Linked DNA regions of Stegostoma tigrinum. The protein of the gene in region 3 interacts with the protein of the main gene of each other region in a pairwise test. Links are inferred from orthologs where the notes say so. Each region holds a gene or a part of one and is shown on either strand. Other genes may lie near its edges.

What was found.
Region 1: the proteins of lipid droplet assembly factor 1-like (region 3) and coq8aa interact in binary tests that used the Homo sapiens proteins (3 or more experiments, as listed by UniProt). The two-hybrid records come from large-scale screens. The link is inferred for Stegostoma tigrinum from reciprocal best matches to the Homo sapiens genes LDAF1 and COQ8A.
Region 2: the proteins of lipid droplet assembly factor 1-like (region 3) and cacfd1 interact in binary tests that used the Homo sapiens proteins (3 or more experiments, as listed by UniProt). The two-hybrid records come from large-scale screens. The link is inferred for Stegostoma tigrinum from reciprocal best matches to the Homo sapiens genes LDAF1 and CACFD1.

Annotation. Positions count from the first base shown.
Region 1 is NC_081357.1:9,938,221-9,941,966, reverse strand, and holds the start of coq8aa (atypical kinase COQ8A, mitochondrial), read left to right. Parts: upstream 1-1,427; 5' UTR 1,428-1,555; intron 1,556-3,746. UniProt on the Homo sapiens protein: Atypical kinase involved in the biosynthesis of coenzyme Q, also named ubiquinone, an essential lipid-soluble electron transporter for aerobic cellular respiration.
Region 2 is NC_081382.1:43,821,774-43,825,519, reverse strand, and holds the start of cacfd1 (calcium channel flower homolog), read right to left. Parts: upstream 2,633-3,746; 5' UTR 2,611-2,632; coding exon 2,472-2,610; intron 1-2,471. UniProt on the Homo sapiens protein: Transmembrane protein which mediates synaptic endocytosis and fitness-based cell culling.
Region 3 is NC_081376.1:49,103,253-49,106,998, forward strand, and holds the start of lipid droplet assembly factor 1-like, read right to left. Parts: upstream 2,825-3,746; 5' UTR 2,702-2,824; intron 2,413-2,701; exon of another isoform or gene 1,611-2,412; intron 1-1,610. UniProt on the Homo sapiens protein: Plays an important role in the formation of lipid droplets (LD) which are storage organelles at the center of lipid and energy homeostasis. In association with BSCL2/seipin, defines the sites of LD formation in the endoplasmic reticulum.

The DNA.
Region 1 (3,746 bases), on a different chromosome or scaffold from region 3:
GCCTCTTTCCACATTGTAGGAATTCTATGATCCTAGGGATATAAGTACAGAAATGGCTAATGCTGCCTGTTTTCAAGTACAGTTCAGGATACAGTAACAGGTGAACTACATTCGGATAATGGTGAAGAAATTAATACAGGGATGGATGCGAGTATAGGTTGGTGGAGTATATGAAGAGAGTACGTGAGTTCTGGATGTGAGTTTGCTCGCTGAGCTGGAAGGTTAGTAGAAAACTAACCTTCCAGCTCAGCGAGCAAACTCACATCCAGAACCTCAACCTGAGCTACAAATCTTCTCAAAATTCGCTAGAGCATGTGAGTATAAGTGAGAAAGTGACTTCAGCTACAAAGAGAACACAGAGTGTAAAGACAAGTACAGGTGCAGATCATAGAGAGGATATAGGCACAGGTGAGAATATGTGATGCAAATGAGGAATGAAGGTTCAATTGAGGACTTGGCTAGAGGTATAGATATAGATCCTGGGTACAGATATGGTGAGGATATACTTGCAGGTGAAGGTGCAGGCCTGGTTGAGGTGCTGATAAAAGGTGCTATCACTGTTGAGAATGCAACTGCAAGGAAGAGTAGCTACTATAGGTAAGGGTATGGTTGCAGATGCCACATAGATGAGATGAGATTCTGGTGTGGCTATGGGTAAGGATGCAGGGTATGGGTGAGCATACCCTGTACAGATATGTTGATAAAGGTGACGGTTATGGGTCTGGGCAAAACTACAGGTAAAGGGGGATATGAGTGAGGATAGCAATGTGAAAATGGATGAAGGTACATATGCAAATATGAGTCGGCTATCAGGGTGATAGGGGTGTGGATACAGCTGCAGATATGAGTGGATACACCGTCGTGATTGGGGTACAAATCTCACAAACATGGGCCTCCATCCAATCAGAGCCTTGGAGACGCCAATCCCGCCTAGCTCCCTCATTGGTAGTCGTCACGAGTACACGCGTGCAGCACGCCCAACTCGTCGCCGGGCGACAGCCAACCAGCGCCAGGGGAGATATTGGACCAATCAGCGGCGGGTTATCATCCCGTCCCCCGCCACGGCAAACAGATCGAAAGGCAGGAACCCCGGTGACAGACAGGCGGCGGTGCAGCCAATCGACATCGAAAGCGGCGGATGTTCCGCCCTTCCACATGGCGGGACCATGTGTCTCCAAGCGACCAGTGAGGGGGCGGTGACGGGAGGGCGGACGAACTAACCAATCGGATAATGTACTTTGGTAATGGGCGGGCAGAGGGGCCAATGGTACTGAAAGGCTTAGTGATAGACGACAGCACTGACCAATTGAAGTGAAAGAAGCTGTAACGGCTACCAGACCGACCAATCGAGGTGGAGAGTTGATGATTGACGGTTGGGCTGACTAATCGGGTGGAGGGGGTGGTGACGCAGGGCGGGGCGGGATTGTGGAGGAGAGGAGGGGGATGTTGTTGTTGTGGAGTCGGTTGTGGTGATTTTGCCGGACGGCACAGGGCAGCTCGGTTCGACTGGTATCCGCTATCACAGCGGCATCGCACGGATTGTCTCCCGGTGCAGGTTTGTCTGTCGGCGGGCGGGGGTCACTCACACGGCGGACCGCAGACGGCAGACACTGAGCCCTGGGTGGAGGACGGGGCTGGGGGGCAATGGCGGTCATCGCCCTCCTGTCAGTTTGTGTCCGCCGGGGGCAGCTTGCTCAGGCTTTCACACAGCACTCGGGGCTGGCTGAGCTCGACACCTTCCTCCATGGGGGAGGGAGCCTGGACATGCCCCACAGGGTAATCCTCCCAGTGTCTGTACAACACAACAGGACTGGGGGAGGGGGATCTGTTTTGGGGGGGGGGGGAGGAGAGGATCTCCGGGAGAAGGGGATCTGTTTTGTGGCCGGGAGGAGAGGATCTGGTGGGGAGGGGGATCTCTTTTGTAGGGGCAAGGACAGGATCTCTGGGAGAAGGGGATCTCTTTTGAGGGGGGAGGAAAGGATCTCTGAGAGAAGGGGATCTCTTTTGAGCGGGGAGAAGGGGATCTCTTTTGAGGAGGGGAGGAGAGGATCTCTGGGAGAAGGGGATCTCTTTTGAGCGGGGAGAAGGGGATCTCTTTTGAGGAGGGGAGGAGAGGATCTCTGGGAGAAGGGGATCTCTTTTGAGAGGGGAGGAGGGAATCTCTTGAGGGGCGAGGAGGGGATCTCGGAGAAGGGGATCTCTTGCGGGGAGGAGAGGATCTCAGGGAGAAGGGGAATCTCTGGGGTGGAGGAGAGGATCTGTGGAGGAGGAAGGGTGCTGGGGGGGAAGAGGATCTGTGGAGGAGGAGGGGGTCTGGAGGGGAGGAGGATCTGTGGATGAGGAGGGGGTTGCTGGGGGTGGAAAAAGTTCTTATTGATTGATTGTATTGTTGCTGTGGGTGGGGGTTTGTTTGTTGTAGATGTGTGTTGTCGTTGGGGGGGCGTATGTTATGGGTTACAGGGGTTTCTGGTGGGCATGTGTTTCTTGGGTTTGTGGTGTATGAAGAGGTTGGGTTATTGTAACTGTTACCAAAATATATTGTGGGTGGCGTTGTGCTGAATTTGTGGGTAGGGAATGAGGTGGATGGTATTGCCATACTCTGCTTAGTGTAACACGCTGAATGTATGGATGGCTGACTGACAGGCAAACAGATTTTCTGAAGGCTAGTACAGACAGTCAGCATTATGAACAGCAAGAGCATGAATGCTAGGACCCCAGATCTGCAATCTTAAGTTCCCATCTGTGAGAGTCCATCTCCCTGATCTATGGACATGTTTGAGATTGTTCACAGGGCTAGTGATTCCACTCTGACAGGCAGTGTTGTGTAGTTTAAAAACAAACACAAAAGTTGGCCATTAATCTGCTCACTGATGTAAACTTCTTAAGGGGGTGGAGCTCCTGCAGAATCCATGCAGCATTTGCCAGAATTTTCTTGACTGTAAAATTTCGAGTAGAGGGTGTCCTCTTTCTTTCAAGGTCACTTTTTTCTACTGAGATTGCCGTGTACTTTAGGTAGTAGTCAGGGAGGGGTGAAAACATTTGAATCAGTATCTCGTACACTGGGTTATAAGATTTCCCATTAATGTAGAATTGATCCAGAGTCTAGTAAGCTGTTGTATTTTTCTTCAACCCTCCCTTCCATATGATTGAGAGACATCCAGAACCAATGCGTGGTGTTATTTTAAATCCTGCTGCTTGGATCTTTCAGAATATACAGAATAGAAACAGGCCATTTGGCCCACCTGGCCTGTGCTGGTGTTGGGCCTCCTCATGTGTCTCCTTTGGCGAGCTGATTTTAATCCGCCCACTGTTAATGTCTGTGTCTTCTGTTACCAGGCCCCTAAGCTTTGAAATTCTCCGACTGTTTCAGTGAAGCTCTCATTAAAACCCACTGCTCATACATGTTTTTAGTCATTTGCTGTAATAACTCGTAGCTTGGTATGAAACATTAATGTTTTTGTGAAGGATTGGAACTTTCCTAATAAAGGTGCTATATAAATGGACATCATTTTAATTTGAACCCAAACAACAAGTCCTTCTATTCCTTTCTGCCACATGTTTATCCAGCTTCCCTTTTATGGCTGCTTTTTGTGTTAGTCAGTTCCTCATTCTGATCCCTGTCCATATAAAGAAGTTTCTCCTAAAGTTCTTTTCTTTTAAATTTTTAAATTCCCATCTTTTACTTAAAACGGTGATCCTGGATTCTTCCATCAGTAACTATTTACCCTATTGAATCTCTCATAATA
Region 2 (3,746 bases), on a different chromosome or scaffold from region 3:
CTATAGGCAGCCCCTGGACAGAGATCCTCCCCCCCCCGGAATCTATAGGCAGCCCCTGGACCGAGATCCTCCCCCCCAGAATCTATAGGCAGCCCCTGGACTGAGATCCCCCACCCCCGGAAACTATAGGCAGCCCCTGGACAGAGATCCCCCACCCCCGGAATCTATAGGCAGCCCCTAGACCGAGATCCTCCCCCCCAGAAATCTATAGGCAGTCCCTGGACCAAGATCCTCCCCCCGCCCCCCGGAATCTATAGGCAGCCCCTGGACAGAGATCCCCCACCCCCGGAATCTATAGGCAGCCCCTGGACAGAGATCCCCCACCCCCGGAATCTATAGGCAGCCCATAGACCGAGATCCTCCCCCCCCAGAAATCTATAGGCAGCCCCTGGACCGAGATCCTCCACCCGCCCCCCAGAATCTATAGGCAGCCCCTGGACCAAGATCCTCCCCCCGCCCCCCAGAATCTATAGGTAGCCCCTGGACAGAGATCCCCCACCCCCGGAATCTATAGGCAGCCCCTGGACCGAGATTCTCCCCCCGCCCCCCAGAATCTATAGGCAGCCCCTGGACAGAGATCCCCCACCCCCGGAATCTATAGGCAGCCCCGGACAGAGATCCCCCACCCCCGGAATCTATAGGCAGCCCCGGGCAGAGATCCCCCACCCCCAGAATCTATAGGCAACCCCGGATAGAGATCCCCCCCGGAATCTATAGGCAGCCCCGGACAGAGATCCCCCACCCCCGGAATCTATAGGCAGCCCCTGGACAGAGACTGCCTTCCCACGAAGACTGGGGGAAGGGGCGGCTTCTCTCTAAGCCCAGAGGCTCCATCACTGTGACTGTTCAATGGGAACAGGGACGGACGGGGGGGGAACAGGGACGGACGGGGGGGGAACAGGGACGGACGGGGGGGGGAACAGGGACGGACGGGGGGGGAACAGGGACGGACGGGGGGGGAACAGGGACGGACGGGGGGGGAACAGGGACGGACGGGGGGGGAACAGGGACGGACGGGGGGGGAACAGGGACGGACGGGGGGGGAACAGGGACGGACGGGGGGGGAACAGGGACGGACGGGGGGGAACAGGGACGGACGGGGGGGGAACAGGGACGGACGGGGGGGGGGCCGAGGGGACGGACGGGGGGGGGCCGAGGGGACGGACGGGGGGGGGGGAGGGGGGAGAGGGGACGGACGGGGAGGGGGGAGGGGGGAGGGGGGAGGGACGGGGAGGGGGGAGGGGGGAGGGACGGGGAGGGGGGAGGGGGGGGACGGGGAGGGGGGAGGGGGGGGACGGGGAGGGGAGGGACGGGGAGGGGGGGGACGGGGAGGGGGGGGGACGGGGACGGGGGGGGGGGACGGGGGACGGGGGGGGGACGGGGGACGGGGGGACGGGGGGGGGACGGGGGGCGGGGGGGGACACGGACGGGGGGGGGAGGGAGGGGGGAGGGAGGGGGGGAGGAGGGAGGGGGGACGGGGGGGGAGGAGGGGACGGGGGGGGAGGAGGGGAGGGGGGGGGAGGGGGGGAGGGGGGGGGAGGGGGGGGACGGGGGGGAGGGACGGACGGGGTGGGAGGGAGGGGGGAGGGAGGGGAGGGAGGGGGGAGGGAGGGGAGGGAGGGGGGGAGGAGGGAGGGGGGGACGGGGGGGGAGGGGGGGGAGGGGGGGGAGGGGGGGGAGGGGGGGAGGAGGGAGGGGGGGACGGGGGGGGGGAGGGGGGGGGGAGGGGGGGGAGGGGAGGGGGGGGAGGGGAGGGGGGGACGGGGGGAGGGGGGGAGGGGAGGGACGGGGGGGGGAGGGGGGGGAGGGGAGGGACGGGGGGGGGAGGGGGGGGAGGGACGGGGGGGGGAGGGGGGGGAGGGACGGGGGGGGGAGGGGGGAGGAGGGAGGGGGGGACGGGGGAGGAGGGAGGGGGGGACGGGGGGGGGAGGGGAGGGGGGGACGGGGGGGGGAGGGGAGGGAGGGGGGGGACGGGAGGGGGGGGACGGGAGGGGGGGGACGGGAGGGGGGGGACGGGAGGGGGGGAGGGGAGGGAGGGGGGGACGGGGGGGGAGGGGGGGACGGGGGGGGGAGGGGAGGGAGGGGGGGACGGGAGGGAGGGGGGGGACGGGAGGGAGGGGGGGGGACGGGAGGGAGGGGAGGGAGGGGGGGGAGGGGAGGGACGGGAGGGAGGGGGGGGGAGGGGAGGGAGGGGGGGACGGGGGGGGGAGGGAGGGGGGGAAGGGAGGGGGGGGACGGGGGGGGAGGGAGGGGGGGGACGGGGGGGGAGGGAGGGGGGGGACGGGGGGGGCGGGGAGGGAGGGTGGACGGGCGGGGAGGGAGGGTGGACGGGCGGGAGGGGAGGGGGGGGGGAGGGACGGGAGGGGGGGGTGGACGGGGGAGGCAGATACACATAAAGGCTCGAACTCAGGGACTGATCCCCGGCGCCGGTATAACTCCGGTTCCTCCCCCCCCCCCCCCCCGGCACTTACACACTCCGCCGAGTACCCCCACGATCCGGCACAGCCAGCGGTACCACCAGGTCATGGGGTCCCCGGTACCTGACCCGGGCGCAGGCCTCGGCCCATCGTCAGACCCGGGCTCCGCGAACCCACTCCCCGCATCCGACATCGTCGCCGTGAACCCGTCCCGAAGTGCGTCTGCGCAACGCGACCTCAATAGGCGGAGCCACCACTGAACCACGTGTCATTGGGCACTTAATGGGCGGGTTCAGCTCCACGGCAAAGTCGCATGCGCAGTGCCCTGAAAAGTGGCACGTTCAGTGTGCAAGAGGAGAGATCTCAGACAACGCGGTGTAGAGCCGGATGGACATGGCAGGACCAGCAGCCTTCCTGCTCCTCTGATGCTGCCAGGCCTGCTGTGTTCATCCAGCTCTACACCGTGTTATCTCAGATTCTTCAGCATCTGCAGTTCCTACTATCTAAGGGAGATCTCAATGAGTTTTAATTTAGAAACACCATAGCACAATCCAGCAGAGTTAACATAGCTGTATAACAGGAAAATCATTTTTTATAAATGTAATAGAGTATTTTGAAGCTGCCGTGAGCCAGATGATGCAGTGTATTTGGATGTCCAAAAGGCATTTGAGAAGATGCAATATAAAAGGGTTAGGGGAGTGATGTAGCACAGATTGAGGGCTGTCTAACTAACTCAAAACAGATAAAGAGATAATCTCTGTCTCCATCACGTCTATTCTGACGATACCACCTTCCTCAGAGATGCCTCAGAAACCTTCATCTTTATCCCCCAACAAAGATTCCCTGCTACTACAATTGACATCCATGTCCGACCCATTCCCCGCTCTCCTGCCATCACCCTTTCTGTCCCACAATAATGATACCAACTTCCACATCCAAAGGGTTATATGCCACCATTCTGTCAACTCCAGTTGCTTGCTACCACCAGGTACATATTCGCCTTCTCTCCCTAGTCAGCACTCCGCAGTGACTGTTTCCTGTGGTACACTCTGGCCCACTCGTCAATTTCCAACACCTCCCAAAACTTACAGCACCTTCCCCTGTAATCGCAGAAGGTGTAACACCTGCCCGCTTACATCCTCTGTCCTCATCATTCAAGGTCCCAGACATACCTCCCAGGTAAGTCAGTGATTTATCTGCACATCACTCAATCTAATTTACTGTATTCGCTGCTCACAATGTGGTCTCCTCTGCATTGGAGACATGAAGCGCAGATTGGGTGACCACTTTACAGAATACCCAAGTTCTGTCTGTAAAATTGACCCTGAG
Region 3 (3,746 bases):
GAACTCAAGTCATTGTTTCGAATTAGCTGTCAGAAAGGCTTAATTATTTAGCCTGCCCTGGTTCTGCCTTTGTATGTGATAAGATTTTCTATTTCAGTACAGCAGAGATGATATATGTGTGTGGGATGTTGGGGAGGGTGAGGGCAGAGATTTGTGAAAACTATTTATAATCATGAGGGAGAGCTTGAACATGCCCTGCTGATACAGTGGCAATATTAATGAGAAACTTTTAAATGGAAATAACATCTAAAATGGGTCTTAAAGATTTCAAGTGAGGAAATCTGAATATTTCCTTACACATCCTGTTCCAATACTGCAAGATTGTCCAGGAAAAGGAAACAAATTGGTTTGTGCGCATATCCACCCCAACCAGAGGGTACCAGAATGCATATGTACCAATAAGGAATAAAAGTAGGCTATTTATCGAGTCATAGTATCATGCAGCATCGAAACAGACCCTTCGGTCCAGCTGGTCCACGCCAACTAGCTCTCCCAAACTAAACTACTCAAATTTGCCTGCATTTGGCTCACAATCCTCTAAACCCTTCTTATTCATGTGCCCGTCCAAATGTCTTTTAAATGTTGTAACTGTACCTGAATCTACCTCTTCCTCTGGCAGATCATTCCCACTGTGTGAAAAAATTGCCTTTCAGGTCCTTTTAAATAATTCCTCTCTCACCGAAGGGTCCCAACCTGAAATGCCAGCTTTCCTGTTCCTCTCATGCTGCCTGGCCTGCTGCGTTCCTCCAGCTCTACGCTGTTTTATCTCTGATTCCAGTGTCTGCAGTTCTTGCTATCTTAAAAATATGCCTTCTAGTTTTGAACACCCCTACCATAAAGAAAAGACCTTTGCTATTCACCTTATCTATGACCCTCATGATTTTATAAACCTCTATATGGTCACTCCTTAGCTTCCTATGATCCAATGTGAAAGTCCCAGCTTATTCAACCTATCCTTATAACTCAAATCCTCCAGTCTTAGTAACATACTTGTAAGTTTGTTTTTGTATCCTTTTCCAATGTAATAATATCCTTCTTATTAGCAGGGCTACCAGAATCGTACGTAGTACTCCAAAAGTGGCCTCACCAATGTCCTGTACAACCATAACATGATGTCCCAATTTCTATACTCAATACTCTGACCAATGAAGGCAAGCGTCCCAAATAACTTCTTCACCAACCTGTCTAAATGTCACACCCCTTTCAAGGAGCTATGTACTTGAACCTGTAAGCCTTTCCAGTGTTCGACAACACTCTCCAGGCCCTACCATTAACTTGGCCCTTTCAGCCTGCTCCACCATTCCATAAGATTAAGGCTGATCTGATTTTAACCTCAACTCCAGATTCTTGCAGACCCCGATAATCTTTCATTCCCTTGGTCATCAAGTATCCAGCTACCGCCTCCTCAAACAACATGTAAAGATTCTGGGATAACAAAACGTGAGGCTGGATGAACACAGCAGGCCAAGCAGCATCTCAGGAGCACAAAAGCAGACGTTTCGGGCCTAGACCCTTCATCAGAAACTCCTTTTGGATAAAAGTAATTTCAGAGACTCTCACTCATTTCACCTCCACCAACCCCCCCCCCCCCCCAACCCCGTCCATTTTAAATGAGTGATCTGTTATTTTTAAACCGTGACCCCTAGTTCTAGATTCTCCCACAAGAAGAAATCGTCCACCAGGTCAAGTTCTCTCAGGATCTTACATCTTAGAAATCATCTTTGACTCTTCTAAACTCCAAGGCCTTGTTGTTTCCGTCAACTCCCATTGGTCCGCTGCAGATTTTAAACAGGAAATCCCTGGATCCCCGGACAATTTGTCATCAATCTCCCCGAGACCAAGACATCTCCTCGGGAGCTGGATGCATCCTCCACGCCGGGGCCCCGCATAGCAACTGGAGGAGGGGCGCGTAGCAACGGGAGGAAGGGGCCTCGCTTAGCAACGGGAGGTAAACCCCTTCCTCCCTTAGCAACCGGCTCCGGGACCGGACGATGGCGGTGGTCGGTGCCGGGAACAGACAGCGCTGAAGCCCGAAGGAGTCACTCAGATCCTTGGCCTCATAACGTCGACATTTAACCCACCTTCTTCCTCCTTCGGGGTCGCTGAGGCCTAGCTATTCCCCATCCCCACCTCCCGGCCGCCTCGAGCTGTGGTCTGTGGGGGGAGGAACAGTCCGCTCTGAGTCCCCTCCGCGTATTTCACTTTGACACAAACCGACGGAGAAACCAAAAATAAAAATGCATCCCGAGCCCCGGAAGCTGAGGTGTCGATGTTCCGGATTCCGAGGGCCGGACGAATGTGTTCTGCTGTTTAAGAGAGCTCGCAGTACAGCAGGGTAATGTCAGAAATATTGTTAATATATTTTCCATTCTGTTTGATCCTTGATGTGCTGTGTCCTTCTTTAAAATGGAGGAGACACTTTTTCTCTGATGACACTGCGGCTCAAGGCATTATTTGCTTAGGGAATTCTCATTTTCTTCATTCTCCCCTCATTTTCCTCTCACTCATTCTCCCCCTACCACCCATTTGAGAATTCTACTCCCATTTGGTTTAACTTCCTCGCACTGTCGCTCCCATTTCTCCCAATTTTCTCTTTGTACATTAGAATTCTCACCCATTTCCCCTATTTTCATTCCATTTGCGAATTAATTTCTATTTATTTCCAATTTCCTCTCACTTATGGATTTCTACTTCGCATTACCTCCAAACACTGAGGGAGACGGCAACATTGTCTGTCGGCTGCCATGTGGCCCCAAGGTGAACTTGGCAACAGACACCGAATCCAGTGATCCACACAGAGGTAACAAGAACCTGCACCACAGGATTGGTCTTAAGCTGGCAGCAAAAGTGCACCATCTGAAATTACCCCAGGCCTAATCGTTTTGTTACATGTTCATGATCCTGTGCCGATGGAAAATATTTGATTACAGCCTCATAAAATCTGTCCCCAATGGAAGATGATTGAAACTAACGTATAAAGACAAAGTCTTTGAAAAATTTGCATTTATACAACATCTTATCACATTTATCAAGATACGTTTTGAAGCACTTCACACATAGTAAATTACTTCAAGTAAAATAAAAGTTTGCAATCCAGACACTTAGACAAGTACTGCCACTGTTTTTCTTTGATTAAAGCTGTACAACTTTTAAAAGTTTGTTTTCTGGGAGTCAATTGTGAAAAAATAGTTCCTTGTTCCAGAGATTGCTCTCTCGCCACCCCCTTTGAATAATGGGCACTGTTCTCTTGTTCTTTCTTGGCCTGAAACTAAAAGAAACATAGCCCTATTAGATAGCAAGAACTGCAGATGTTGGAGTCAGAGATAACAAAGTGTGGAGCTGGAGGAACAGGAAAGCTGACATTTTGGTTCGGGACCCTTCTGAAGAAGGGTGCCAACCCGAAACGTCAGTTTTCCTGCTCCTCTGATGCTGCCTAGCCTGCTGTGTTCCTCCAGCTCCATGCTTGGTTATCTATAGCCCTATTAGATATTGGAATTACCATGAGTCATTACTTTGCATCTTTAGTCACCGCATGACAGACATTGCTGCAATGCAGCTGACCTGTGCTACATATCGGGCACCTACTAACACATCCCTTATGGAGCCATGTACACCTGTCCCTAACAGCAACAGAACGGGAGGAAAGATCCACAATTGTCATGTTGCATTTTATCTACTTGATTGGAGATTGAAATTGCATTTTCTCAATTTTCATGTACTCCCACCACACTTAACCTCTCTGTTCA